Linked DNA regions of Lepisosteus oculatus. The protein of the gene in region 1 purifies or fractionates together with the protein of each later gene. This does not show direct contact. Links are inferred from orthologs where the notes say so. Each region holds a gene or a part of one and is shown in the gene's direction. Other genes may lie near its edges.

Region 1 (7,052 bases):
TTTAAACACGTTTACAGCATTGTTATGACAACCTTATATTTTGAATGTAAGTCTACTTTTGTTTCTCATGCTATACCAAAAATACTATCTTTGCAGAGTGCAGAAAGAACACGTAATACAGCTGTTTGCTCACCAGGGTAGCCTATTTGAAAATAAACTGCTGACTGAGAAGTTTGACTTTTTTCTTCCAGCTCCTCTATAATGTTTCTCCTTTGTAGCCCATATCACTGGTGTTGGCCTCGATCCCCTGGGGAAAGGCACAGCCTTTTCTCCTTTGGCTTGCTTAGCACTAAAGGTAAAATCCCCTGTGACTTAGTGAGATGATTAAATCAAACTAGGACCAGCAGTGAGTGTGTTGCTGCAGTCAACTACAGATGAGTCTAGCAACCAAGCCCTGTGCCAGAACTTATCCACATAATGTAGTGTATTTAAAGGACTAGTCTTTATCACCTTGATTTTCTGTTTCATTTGATTTGACTTTCCTGCTATGTGGTTTGTAGAATTCATTGGTATAATTTCAGTTTAGAATTTGATTTATTTACTGATCTAAAAAGAAAACTTTTACATACGAGAATTCTCTGAAAAGACTTCTGAAAACTAGTTGCCAGAAAGTGTAAAGAAAAGAGTGAAAAGGGGGGTAATTATGAAAATCCCATGAGCAAAAACTGCATATTCCCAATTGTACTTTTTATTTCAGGTCTGTCAGGTTCTTATTGTTTTTCAATCATATTTACAATAGTTAGATATAATTGCAAATAACATGAGGATGAAGTATTAAACAAAATCACACAAAACTTACAAAAGGGAATGCAATACAAAAAGCTGAAACAATAGAGTTAGATAAATGGTAGAAACTACTCCTTTTACATTCTGTTTTATGTTATTGTCTTTCTTTGCCTTGATAGGTAAATTTGAAAGAAAATTATAATGTAAGTGCTCTGTTACCCTTTATTAATAATTTCTCTTTAATGCTTGTTAAAAAAATAAAGCATTTTACCACTAACAAGTCAGAATCAACACTTATTCTGTTAGAAAAAGCTGAACAAGATTCCATTAAAAAATAATGTATAGAAATGGCAGACAGTTTGGTTATAAGAATAGTTTCCTAGATCCTAAAAAGCAATAGAACAGTAGGAGGATTTGAATGAAGAAACACACACAGGACACTTAAGGTCAGCAAAAAGATTCAAGTTAACATAAATCAAATAGTGCTTCCAATGGAATGAGATTAAATACAGGAAAGCAAAAGTTGCAGTAAGGTCAAAATACTCTATACTGAAATATGCACATCCTGAGAATGACATTATTTTTTCGGTGTCCACCCCAATGGACAAGGAGACGTCATGCTCCTGTATGCTGAATAATAATATGTCACCCATAAAGTTATTTTCAATTAAAAACAACTGTATCTTTGCTCAAATTAGATTAAGAGAGCTATTGCATTATTTGGCCAATTGAACTGTGTCCCCACATCTAAGAAATGATTTAATGTGATACAACAAACAATTGCACTTTGGAAGTGGAGGACAGGAGCTGGATACCCCAGGCCAATGATTTTTAAAATTCCACTCAACCCAAAGCATGAGATAATACAGTGGAAGAGAGCTGGATAAAATATTTAGTCAATAAGACTTTTAGATGATTGCCATTTAAGCAATAGGTTGACAACTGATTATACACAATATGAATCTACACACAAGTGACCCGGACAACAATAAATATAAAATGAATATGAGTAAAATTTATTTAAAAATATTTGAGGTTCACCCTGAAATAATTTAATTTAAAAAGAGTTCTGCTTTATCTCAACTGTGTTTATCTCAACTGGAAGGCAATCTGTTCACATTTTGTATGATAGTAATTGATATAAATCATCAATTTAATTTTTTCATGATGAGGAGACTAATGTGAATGTCAGGTACACAACTACTAAACTGTAGATTTGACTTATCTTAGAGAAATCATATCTCCCTTTCATACATAAATAGCCAACTATATAAGAAATATCTGAAAATACCAGCTGACACCATTTATTTTAGTTATTTTTTGGGTTGATTTATTTTATGTTATTGACCATGAAAGGAAATGGGTCCAGAGTCTTGTTATTTTTGGCATCTGCTGCTTTTCATTGGCGTGAAAGCTTAGCTTGCTCTAGTTTTCTCTTGAGTCCTACACATCTCAGTGTCAGCTCAGCATGCCGGCGCCTCAGCATCTCAAGCCTCTGACTCAGAGCTTCGGAGGCATCTACCTTTTCTTCAAAGTCCCGGAGCAAGGTCTCATTTCCCAGAAGGCCACACTTCTGCCGGAGCTTCAGGTTGTCCGTGCGGAGAGCATCACGGGCCTGTTTGGTCTTGGTGAGGATGTCCCTCTTCCGAGCTACCAGGGCTTCCACCTCTGTAAGTTGAGCCTTCTTTGCCTGGTTCTCCACCTGGACAAACTGCAGTTTCTCCTTGACGTGGGTGAGGACCTGGACTGTGCTGGTAATCTTCTTCCGGAGTTTCAGGAGCTCCTCGTTGCGCTCCTCAATCTTCTCGTTGTACGTCTGGTTCTCAATCTTCAACTGCTCAAAGTCGATGAGGTGCAGCCCTTCAGCCAGCTCCTCCTTAGCCTTCAGCATAGCCTCAAATTTCCTGACCTTATTCTTCAGCTTGATGTTCTCTAGCCTCACCTGGACCAGCTCGTTCTCTTTCCGCTGCTCATTGGCCTGGATCTGCTCCACTTGTGCGACAGCGGCTTGCTTTCCTAGGCGCCGGCTCATGGCTGACACTGCCACCTCCTTCTTGAAGCCCATGAAGACCTTCCACTCACTGTCCACCTGGCTCACTTTTTCCTGGGACTGGGCTCTCAGCTCCTTGATCTGCTGCTGGTAGCTCTCTGAGTCCCGCCTGTGCTGCCATTTCAGGTCCTCCATTGTAGACATGTACTTGAGGTAGCGCTGCTCCTGATCTGAGACTGGCTTCTCTTTCTCATGACGGATTTCCTCCCCTGTCTTCCTGCGGAAGTACTCCACTAACTTGTTCTGTAGCTGACCGCTCTGCTGGATAATATTCGCCTTTTCCTTCTTAAGTTCTTTGTACCTTTCCATGTATTCTTCATAGTTTATGCTTAGGGCTTCTTCCTCCTCTTCCTCCTCCTCCTCTTCTTCTGTTGGGCTTGTCTCTCTTTCTGGCGCCTCCAGCTCCAGCTCTAGGGGAGCATTTTCCTGCTGGGCCACTGGGCTGCCCTCTCGAGACAGCAGCTCTCCTATGATCTGCTGCCCTTCTTCCTCCTCTTGCTCTGCTAAAACTTCACTAGAAGGCACAACTTGCTTCTCCTCCTCTTTTACAGGTGTTGATGCATCTTCAGCAGCACTATCTCCTTTTAACTCTTCTAAGGTTTCAGCTTCAGCTTCGGCAGGTCCTCCTAGAGACTCACCTGAAACCTCATCTGCTGGCCCCTGTCTGGTGCCGGGAAGGTCACTGTTAACTTCAGGCAACTCTTCCTTTTGTTCCGTCCCAGCCTCGGTACCATCCTTTTCAGCTAGCAGTTCAGCAGTGCAGTCATTGTTATTTCCAGCTTCATTAGATTCTCCCTCGAATGTCTCTTCTTGCTTTTCGGTTTGGGACAAACCGTTAGTGTTCTCCGCTTCAGGAAGGTACTCTGTCGTTTCCTCAACAGTTTCGAGTTTGGGGGGCTGTGACGCCTCCATCGCAGTACGAAATAATATAAGAATAATAAGTCACTATTTGTTCCTATCCCGCTGTAAAATAAATGTAAATCTATTGTTAGCTGTAAAGTTAGCTCAAACTAAACACTGGGTCCAAAAAGAAAAAAAAGAACCCAAAACTGAATCACCTAGAAATTACACCTACTGTACCTTTCCTGTCCAACTATTTTATAAACCTAATGCGGTGTCTTTCGGTTGCCCCAGAAACGGGGGCGTGACCCAACCAGCATGCGCGTGATATTTATATTAATGAGACGCAGGGAGCAGAGCGGTAGCTGCTCAGTGCGCATGCGCCTGCCTTGGAGGCTGTGCAGCTTCAACAACAAGCAGCAGCAGCCTGCAACATGGCCGACCTGGGCAAGAAGTACTGCGTTAATTGTCTAGCAGATGTAACGAACCTGCGGCTTCGTTGCACCGAGTGCCAAGACATCGAACTCTGTCCAGAATGCTTCTCTGCAGGCGCCGAAATAGGCAATCATCGGCGATGGCATGGGTATCAGCAAGTAGACGGGGGACGCTTTACTCTTTGGGGTCCCGAAGCAGAAGGAGGCTGGACCAGCAGGGAAGAGCAGTCGCTACTGGATGCGATCGAGCAATATGGCTTTGGAAACTGGGTAAGTTTTCTTTTATTTTCCCACGGGATGGAGAAGAAGAGAGAGGATTACGTTTTGATGGTGACAGTTGAAATTGCAGTACTCCAGTATTGTTCTGTTTCAGCAAATGTCACGTTTGTGAGTGAGTGAAAAGTTAATTTGAAATCGGTTTCAATCAGGAGGACTGGCCAAACTATAGGTAAGATCAAAAATTACTTTGTCGGTTTTCTGAGAATGTAGAAAACGCGTCAAATTAAAGATTTATATAAAATAAAAACCTGTGATTATTAAGAGCGTTTAAACATTTTAGGATTTTGAACGCTTCGAGTGGAAAAAACTATCGCATCGCAAATACGTGAGATTTTAAATGCTATAGTAAAAATGACTGTGTAAAGAATGTGTGTTTTGCACCATCAAGAAAGTAAAAAAAACATAAATTCTTCCCGTACTACACTATACATTATTAAGAGTTTTTCTTAGAATATCCATAAACAGACACCTGCGTGCTTGTGCGATTTAGCAATTTGTTTGCTGCCATATATATGCAATTAGATATAACCACAGGCAATTATTCCAGTTTACAGGAACGACGTATTTTTGCCTACAGAAAGCTTGTGAATAGATTTTCTCCATGGATGTCTAGGACTTTGTTGTGAACATTGCCCTAGTCCAGTGAACATTGTTCACTGGTGATAGAGAGTGAGTTTTCAGTGCTGTTGGTATCCACAATGTCTGTATATCATTTTAAACCTTACTGTTCTATTTTGCATAAAACAGCATGTTCTGTTTGTGCTAAGCTTAATTTTTAGTTCTGTAATTTATCTGCATGATTGTTACTTACTGAGGGAAAGTTTTTGTATGTTTTGAGTTATGCCAGATAAGGCCATTGGCTAAGCAAATACTAAGACGTGTGTAGTTTCTCTGTAACAATGGCTGCCTGTGTAAAGATTTGTATCATTGCCCCACTAACGCAATTGTATTGTTCCAGGAGGACATGGCAGCCCATGTTGGAGCTTCAAGGACGCCACAGGAAGTCATGGAGCACTACGTGACCATGTACATCCACGGTAACCTTGGCAAGGCCTGTATCCCGGACAGCATCCCAAACCGAGTGACGGACCACACATGTCCAAGTGGGGGGCCGCTGTCTCCCAGCCTCACCACCCCACTGCCGCCCCTTGACATCACCGTCGCCGAGCAGCAGCAGCTGGGCTACATGCCCCTGCGCGACGACTACGAGATCGAGTACGACCAGGACGCCGAGACGCTGATCAGCGGGCTGTCGGTCAACTATGATGACGATGACGTGGAGATCGAGATGAAGCGGGCCCACGTGGACATGTACGTGCGCAAGCTGAGGGAGCGGCAGCGGCGCAAGACCATCGCCCGCGACTACAACCTGGTGCCGGCCTTCCTGGGCAAGGACAAGAAGGAGAAGGACAAGGAGAAGCCGGCTGCCGGGGGGGCGGCGACAGCGGCGGCGGTGGTGGCAGCGGCGGCTCCGCCAGCAGCGGCCGGCTCCTCGGCCGCGACGCCAGCCCCCAAGCGCAAGATCACCAAGGAGGAGAAGGAGCAGCGGCTCAAGCTGAGGCCCCTCTGCCAGTTCATGGCCTGCCGGGAGTTCGAGGAGTTCTTTGAGAATATGCACAAGGAGCGGGTCCTGAGGGCCAAGGTGCGGGAGCTGCAGCGCTACCGGCGCAACGGCATCACCAGGCTGGACGAGTCGGTGGAGTACGAGGCGGCGCGGCACAAGCGGGAGAAGCGCAAGGAGAACAAGAGCGTGGCCCAGTCCAAACGGGGAGGGGGCGGAGGAGGTGGGAGCGGGGGCGGCGGCGGCGGTGGTGGTGGCGGGGGCAAAGAGGAGGGCAAGGACAGCGAGTTCGCCGCAATCGAGAACTTGTCCGGCTTCGAGCTGCTCTCCGACCGGGAGAAGGTCCTCTGCAACTCTCTGAACCTCAGCCCCACACGCTACCTGACGGCCAAGACCATCATAATCAAGGACCACCTACAGAAGCGCCAGGGGATCCCCTCCAAGAGCCGTCTCCCTAGCTACCTGGACAAAGTCCTCAAAAAGAGGATTCTGAACTTCCTCACCGAGAGTGGATGGATATCGCGGGACGCCTCTTAGTCTGTCTTACTTCGTTGCCCGTTTCACTTCATTGCCAATTTGTGTGTGGTTTACTTTTCACAAGGTGTTCTGTGTGCTGTGTCTGACCTCTGTAAGTTCCGAATGGGCCAAACTACTGGACGTTATTTTTTGTTTCTTTCTACGGGAGCGTGATAATGCTGGGACTGGCGAAAGAAAGAAGTCAAAAGCTGTTTGCGGTTTATTTAAGCCTTTTTAAAGCTGAGCATGCGAGAAAACAAAATGGCAATAACAGAGTAACTGAAGAACAACGTTTGCTTCTCTCCTGTGATCTTTGCCCCAGGGCTCAACTACAATCCCTGAACTTACCAATGTGGGTGCTGTTTTACTGCAGCTCTTCGTCACTCGTGTATGGAAAAGATCTCCGTAATAACTTTGAAGTCACAACGAGGCACCGCCTTTTGTGTAAGGGAGGGAGACCCATGCTATTGTTAACATTTATCTCCTACAATCCAAAAGTCATGCTGGATTCATTTGGCTTTGTCTTGAGAGATAAATGCACGGAGAGAAAAAGTGTCATTTCTGTTTTAGGAAAGAAACTGCTTTGTACAGTTTCAGGCAGCTGGGATATTCATTTGGCCTGTTGAGTCCTTTGGGGGGGGGGGGG
Region 2 (7,331 bases), on another chromosome or scaffold:
CTCTCGTTGCGAGCCCTGTCGGATCTCTGTATGCTTTTTTCATCCCACTTCCGGGCAGGAGACCGATCTGTAGTTTGAGGTCTTGGGTGCATCGGTAAGAAATGGGCCGTGATAATGAAAGGAGCAACAACAGTATCTTTCTACAGCCTAGAGAGCAGATGCTGCCGTTTCAAAAGTCCTTAACCTGTGTGTTTCCCACTTAGTGTACTTAGTTAATCCTACAGGCTTGTGTGATGTTCCTCTTAATTAAGCTCTGCCTCTTGAAATAAAAGTGCAGTTTAGTTTGACATATATTTATTTATTCTGCATAGTTGCTAATGAGTAGGTCATAGTGTGGTAGCAACTAAAGGGAGGTTTTCTTTAGTGTGTCGTTATCCTGATTTAAGAGTGATTAAGAACATCACCACAGTTCCAGTCTGGAGTCTGTACTCCCTGAGTTCCACGATACCAGAGCATTTGCAAGCAAATTAGCAAAACCAGAATGTGCAAGGGGTCTGAAGACTGTTCAAAAGTGGGATCAAAACAGTTGGACATTGCCATCAAGGTCTGATTTCCTACAGTAGAAGGGCAGTCGTGTGTAGGAAACAGTGAACAAGACCTGGACAGAACGAAAGAAGTGAGATTGCAATCGCAATGGTTTTTCCTTTTTGTGGTCTCGTAAAGAAATTCTTGTTTTAAACTGTTGTTTTTTTAAGAAGTAGACTGAAATAAAGAATATTTATTTTATAACATTTTAGGTCCTTTAATTCCTTTTGAAAACTGGAGGATCGTTTAACAGCCGTCGGAGTCATTAGTGCTTCCCGCCCATGATGGGATAGAGCTGGGACGAGTGGCTTTGAGACCAGTTTAAAAATGATAACCAACCATCTGGCTTCACACTGTGGCTCAGCAGACCTGAATTGTGGTGTAAATATATAAGAAATATTTTTTCATTAAAAATAAAAGGGTTTTAGTTTTGTATGGTGACAGATTCCATGTAACGCAAAACATTCCGAAATGTATTCCAAAGGGCAGTTGTCCACAAGCTGTTCTTTTCTCCCGGAGTTCTTAATGAAATCTTGCATTGCACGGTCCGCATCTTGCAATCTGGACTGGCTCCCTGACTGAAACGATTCCATAACTATTCAAGGACTGGGCAGCTAGCTTGTGGACACAGGCTGTATCTTGGATTGAGCCGGACCCATTCACCCATGTGAGAGGAGCAAAGTGCGTAGTGGCCTCAATACCAGCCTCTTCAATAATCCAATTTAGCTAAAAACGAACAATATAGTAATCTTGTGAACTTGTTAGGGCTGGTTCAATTAGTCCAGGCACCTGGGGTCCAGGCTCAGTCTGAGACACAGCCGCTGCTGAAAGACAATTAACGCAACACCTACATACCTTCATTTCCATTGAGGAGTGCTCGTCTTGTTGAGTTATTGGGTCTGTTATTTGTGGGGAAAATGGTGCCAAATAGTGAAGGGGGTCTCCGTTCTGTTGAGTTCGTGGGTGACCAGCCCTGATCCTGGACGAGGAACAACCCACCAAGGCTTTAAGCTCTCGATTTCTAGAGATTCGAACATGTGTGGAATACTGGGAAGTGTAGTAAATGCACTGCCTCATTTAAGCCAGACATTGTTCTTGCCAGCTGCTGAGTTGAAATGTTCATTTCCAGTGAATCTTTCAGCTACTGTAGATGAACCGAATCAGCTGCTTAGCTGATCAAAACAAAATGAGCTAGCTGTGTTTAGAGATGGATGATTTAAAGTCGAACCTGCTGGATTGAATCTTTCCAGTACCAGGGCCGGTCACCCCTAGTTAAGCTTTAACATGTCAGGAAACAAAATAACTTTGGAAACAGAGCAGGGCAAGGGTAAGGAGACCGATAAAAATTGGGTAAGAGTTACAGTCTGCCTAGAATAGGAGTCTTAAGAAGCCTAATAGACGACAGAATATTTGAGTCTTCCCTAAAGGGAAAATGGGGAATGCTCTATAATCCATGTCCAGAGTATGCAATGAAATTCCTGCCTCATTTTCCCTGTGTTAATCTTCGGAAAGCCATCTCTCAGGTGCAGCTTACAGAAACAGTAGCAGACGCTCGCTGTGTCCGGCTCATTTATCCTGTCAGTCAAGACAAAGTTCCAAACTAGTACAGAGTTGTGTCAGAAGGTCTCCTGGCTCCTTTCTGCCACAGCTCTGTCCATCCTTGAGATACAGAAAGGCTCTTTTCTCTTGCTTGAACCTGTAGCTCTTAGTTGATGAAAGAATACTCTTTAAGAAAGCACCCCTGTAGACAGCTGTTTGGCCCAATTTCCCTCTACAGTGTTTTGTCTTTTAAAAGACATTCCTTTCTTCTCTGTCGTGGTCTACATTGTCACGTGTGGTTTTGCACCAGCTGTGTCAAAGTTTATATTTTATATGGTGGAACATCTTGTGGGCTTATTTTTTTTAAAAGTCAATATTAAAAATAAATGGCTACTTAATACAAATTTATTTTTGATTTTCTTACTAAAATGTATAATTATTCTTGTGGCAATAAATAAAAATCAACTATAATTTGAAATGTGATTTTTCTTCCTTTTTTGGGGAAGGGGTATGGGTATTTTGCCCACAGAATTCAGTAAGCACGTTTTATATTGAATATTTTGCATGATTTTGATATAGCGTTGGAATATGGCTGTTAAGAACGGACACTTATAAACTTCACTGACATGTTTTAGACCCTAAATGAAAAAAAAACGGCCATACAGTCCACTCATCCATTTTCAAAAATAGAGCCTACCTCAGCAAGCAATGGGCACAGGGCAGTCTGGACAGAACAAGTCCATCGCAGGGCAGACACACAATTACAAAGACACACTCACACCAATTTTCGCCAATTTTCCCAGAAACCAGTTAACCCACCAGCACATCTTTGGAGAGAACTTGCACAAACTCTGGAAGAGCATACAAACTCCATGCACATAGCACTCTGGGAATTGAGCCCAGGGCCCCAGCACTGCAAGGCAGCAATGCTGCCCTCCAAGCGATCAGTCACTGATACCTTGCCTTCACTTCTCACATTAAGTTGAGTCAATACAGATCAAGAACAGGAGTTCAGCACTTGGTTTGGAATACACTTGAACATGCTTGATGGTGTGTTTTTATGACTGGGGAACATTTTGCATGTGTATACACGTCTGATAGAAAACACAGGGATGTAATCAAAGGAAAGCACTTCTGATCTAGAGTTGTGGTGGGCAGGCCGATTAAGCCCAGGAGCTGTTGTACGATCAATGCACCAGAACACTCGCCACACATCAGCTCTCAAGGGGGGAGGAGAACAGAGGGATGAAGCCAGTTCAGAGATGGGGATTAGGAGGCCATGACTGGTAAGGGCCAATTGGAAATTTGGTCTGGACGACGGGGTTACACCCCTACTCTTTTTGAGAAACACCCTGGGATTTTTAATGACCACAGAGAGTCAGGACCTCGGTTTTATGTCTCATCCAAAGGACATTGCCATTTGTACAGTTTAGAGTAAAAAAGGACAGTTCCTGAAATGGGATAATGATTCCTTACACTTACATAGTGCTATTAATTACTCTTTGAAGCTAATTTTCAGGGTGTATAAAGAACACCGATCAAAGTCCAACAGTAACTAATTACATTAATAATAATTGCTTACACTTATATAGCTCTTTTCTGGATATTCCACTCAAAGCACTTTACAGGTAATGGGGATCCTCTCCGTCACCACCAGTGTGTAGCCCCCACCTTAATGATGTGACGTGCGCCAGAATGCTCCCCACACACCAGCTCTCAGTGGAGAGAAGAACAGAGTGATGAAGCCAGTTCAGAGATGGGGATTATTAGGAGGCCATGATTGGTAAGGGCCAATGGGAAATTTGGACAGGACACCGGGGTAACACCCCTACTCTTTTAAAGAAACACCCTGGGATTTTTAATGATCTCATAGAGTCAGGACCTCAGTTTTACATCCCATCTGAAGGACGGCGCCTTTTTACAGTATAGTCACTATGCCATCATTATGCTGGGGCATTAGGTCTCCCATCCAGGCTCATGCCTGCTGGGTGATATGGCTGCTGGCTCACAAGATCTCTGCAACCAGTCCTTAGGAGAGCACCCTGGAGCAGCCGAGGATCAGCAACATTTCCAGGTAGTTCAAGATTGGAATTCCCAGGACATGCCACTTGCCAGAATCACTTTTCCAGACAGGACCCGCAGCTGGCGTCTCCTTGAACAGCGGGTGCTAGCGAGGCGGAACGCATTGCGTGGGCACGAGTTGTAGTCCGGACTTGACTCAAACGGCACACGGAAGCTGGGCTTGTTTGGGAAGTGGTGAATGTTGCTGAAAAAGTCCAGCTGCTGACATACGCTACATGCGTGGATTTTGTGTTTGTGTGTGTGTGTTTTGGGAATCGTCGCGTTAAATTGCATTATCTTTTTTGGGGGGGCTTATTTCAAACGTCAAATCTCTGCTTCTCGAAGACTGTTATATCCGTTCGCTGTTCAACGTTCAAGATTTTTTTTTTTGGTACTCGACAACGATGAACGTCGATACCCCGCAGCCCGTGGCGGCTGGAGGCGCGTTGTCAAACTCTTCCACGACAAGCAACAGCAACAACAGCAGCAGCATCAGCAGCATCAGCAGCAGCAACAACAACAGCAGCAGCGGCAACAGCGTAGCAACCAGCAGCAACACCGCCGGCAGCGCCAACAGCGTCGCCTCCGCGGCTCCCACCAGCGGTGAGCCCGTCTTCCGTTCGTGCTGCCCCGGCGGGACACGCCGCAGTTCACGGGGTATCTCTAGCCCGGTCCCCAGCCCGCTGCCGTGGATCCGTGTGCTTGGGGTCAGGCTTTGGGCGTTTTGTTAAACTGTTTGTCGTTTGGCTAGCTGGCGAATCATTTATACAGAACTCCATATGCGGTCTATACACCCGTGAGGAGGAGACGAGCGACTAATGCGCTCTTCCTGCCTGTCAAAAAACAAACTTAACAGTTGTATAACTGGACGGTTCTTCATAGGTTTTTCCAATAATAAAAAAGATTCTTGGGGAAAAAAGTCGGTGGGATAAATTAGAGCCGCAGTAGTACAGTATAGTTCATAAACCAGGTTAAATACTCTGTATTTGTACGCTGTACAAATGGGTTGTAGTTTGTGGTTAAATTGCCACAAAGGGTAAGAAGACCACTGGGGCGGAATAAAGAGTCTTTTACTGCTGTTCCTTCATACTTCCCGAATTTCTCAATTTCATATAGGCTTGTTTTAAACCCCCTGTTTCTGGTTAATCACTATAGCTCTGTCGCTGATCCTGTATGACAAATCCTGTGTGAATTTGACATCTTCATACTTTTGTAACAATGTTCAAGCAAGACCTCTCCAAGATGATTAAAGAGGAGGAAGCAAAATCAGGATGCACAGTACTCCAAAGCCCTGTGCAACACAAACATCCTTCCCAGGATACCAGGAGCAGAGAATCATACTCATTTACACTTATGTGATGTAAAATAGCAGAGTGATCAAAATGATGTCAGCTCACCCGTTAATCTTGATTTTGTTGCGTTTTGATGTAGCTCCGCTGTCGTCTGCCTCGGTCCCCCCTCCCTCGGAGACCTTGGTGTCTAACGGGGTGTACGTGCCGCCTGGCATTGCCAACGGAGACGTCAAGCCTGTCCTGTCCAGCATGCCTCTGGCCGACTTCCTCATGCAGCTGGAAGACTACACTCCCACGGTACCTGGGGCAGCTCGGGGCTTTAGGCTACAACACACAGACACGCAGACAGAGACAGAGTCACACACACACTCACAGAGACACACGCCTGGGCCTCGCCAGACTGTAGCTGATGGCCTGTCTTTGACCTGCAGATCCCCGACGCAGTGACCGGATACTATCTCAACCGGGCTGGGTTCGAAGCCTCTGATCCCCGCATGTAAGTGTTAACTTCACTATCTGCTATGGCCCAGCCATCCTGTACTGCAGTTACTAGAAGGCAAATTTTAATATTCCAGTATGTGCTGTGCAAAGTTTTTTTTATTAACATGAATTGTAAGTTGTATCTTTTGTATACAAGTTTCTAAATGTTTTTTGTTGTAGTTTTGGTAAATTTCATTCTTTTTAATTTGTGTTACTATAAATCTCTGTACAGTATTGTTGTTAAATTATATTTTATGCCTCGAATATTAAAGGCAGTTTTAATAGTAAGAAATAATGAGAAATGAATGAGTGCAATGCAAAGTAGAGTGCATTTACATGGATGTTAGACATTTACATGTTAATGCTGTTAACCTAGCATTAACACGAGGCAATAGTTCATTCCAGTACGTGGTGGAAATAGAATTCCTTTAACAGAATTACGCAAAGGAATAATGTGAAGAGTATACTTGTGTTATAAATAATTTGATGTATTTGGAGAATGTGAGGGACAAATTGAAATCATGTGGTTCACTCAAAAAGACAAACTATCCAAACTTCCTTTCTAGTGTGTCTTACCCCCTTGTGCATTTTTCTTGACTGAATGTTGCCAGCAGCCCTGCAGCTCACAGCTGACACCCCACTGGAGCTCAGCAGGTGTGAGCCTGGTCAGTACCTGGATGGGAGACCTGCTGGGAAAAACTAAGGTTGCTGCTGGAAGAGGTGTCAGTGGGGCCAGCAGGGGGCGCTCACCCTGCAGTCTGTGTGGGTTCTAATGCCCCAGTATAGTGACAGGGACACGAGACTGCAAAAGGGCACCGTCCTTTGGATGAGACATAAAACTGAGATCCTGACTCTCTGTGGCCATTAAAAAGTCCAGGGCTTTTCTAGAAAAGAGTAGGGGTGTAACCCTGGCACCCTGGGCAAGTTTCTTATTGTCCCTTACCAATCATGGCCTCCTAATAATCCCCATCTATGGATTAGCTTCATCACTCTGCTCTCCTCCCCACTGATAGCTGATGTGTGGTGAGAGTATTGAGCATCATCCAGGTGGATGCTGCACATTGGTGGTGGTGGAGGGGAGTCCCCATTACCTGTAAAGCGCTTTGAGTGGAGTGTCCAGAAAAGCGCTATATATGTGTAAGCAATTATTAATTACAAGACACTGACAAGCCAGTGCTACAGACAGTGTAGACATAGACATTTCTGACAGGGTACATGAAGTGCAATGTGCAGAGTGCAATTTACTTTACAGGATTTTGCAAAGAATTGTGTAAAGAATACATCAGACAGTGTGCCTGACATTAGGCAAAGAGAACTAGGTTTCCAGATTTGGAGTAGGTGCAGTAGGTACCAGGGTGTTGAGGAGCCTGACAACCTGCGGGAAAAAAGCTGTCATGGAGTCTGGTGGAGCTGGCTCGTATACTGCCATACCTT

What was found. Proteins that work in one complex are often made in the same cells at the same time.
Region 2: the proteins of tada2b (region 1) and taf10 purify together in Homo sapiens (affinity purification with mass spectrometry; 4 studies listed by BioGRID and IntAct, counting the BioPlex papers as one, with this or other methods). This does not show direct contact. The link is inferred for Lepisosteus oculatus from reciprocal best matches to the Homo sapiens genes TADA2B and TAF10.

What each region holds. Positions count from the first base shown.
Region 1 is NC_090696.1:42,383,401-42,390,452, reverse strand, and holds the start of tada2b (transcriptional adapter 2-beta), read left to right. Parts: upstream 1-3,995; 5' UTR 3,996-4,050; coding exon 4,051-4,320; intron 4,321-5,287; coding exon 5,288-6,427; 3' UTR 6,428-7,052. Other genes in the region: cfap184 (cilia- and flagella-associated protein 184), read right to left, coding at 2,126-3,688. UniProt on the Homo sapiens protein: Coactivates PAX5-dependent transcription together with either SMARCA4 or GCN5L2.
Region 2 is NC_090720.1:9,870,479-9,877,809, reverse strand, and holds the start of taf10 (transcription initiation factor TFIID subunit 10), read left to right. Parts: upstream 1-4,269; 5' UTR 4,270-4,529; coding exon 4,530-4,728; intron 4,729-5,556; coding exon 5,557-5,714; intron 5,715-5,848; coding exon 5,849-5,913; intron 5,914-7,331. UniProt on the Homo sapiens protein: The TFIID basal transcription factor complex plays a major role in the initiation of RNA polymerase II (Pol II)-dependent transcription.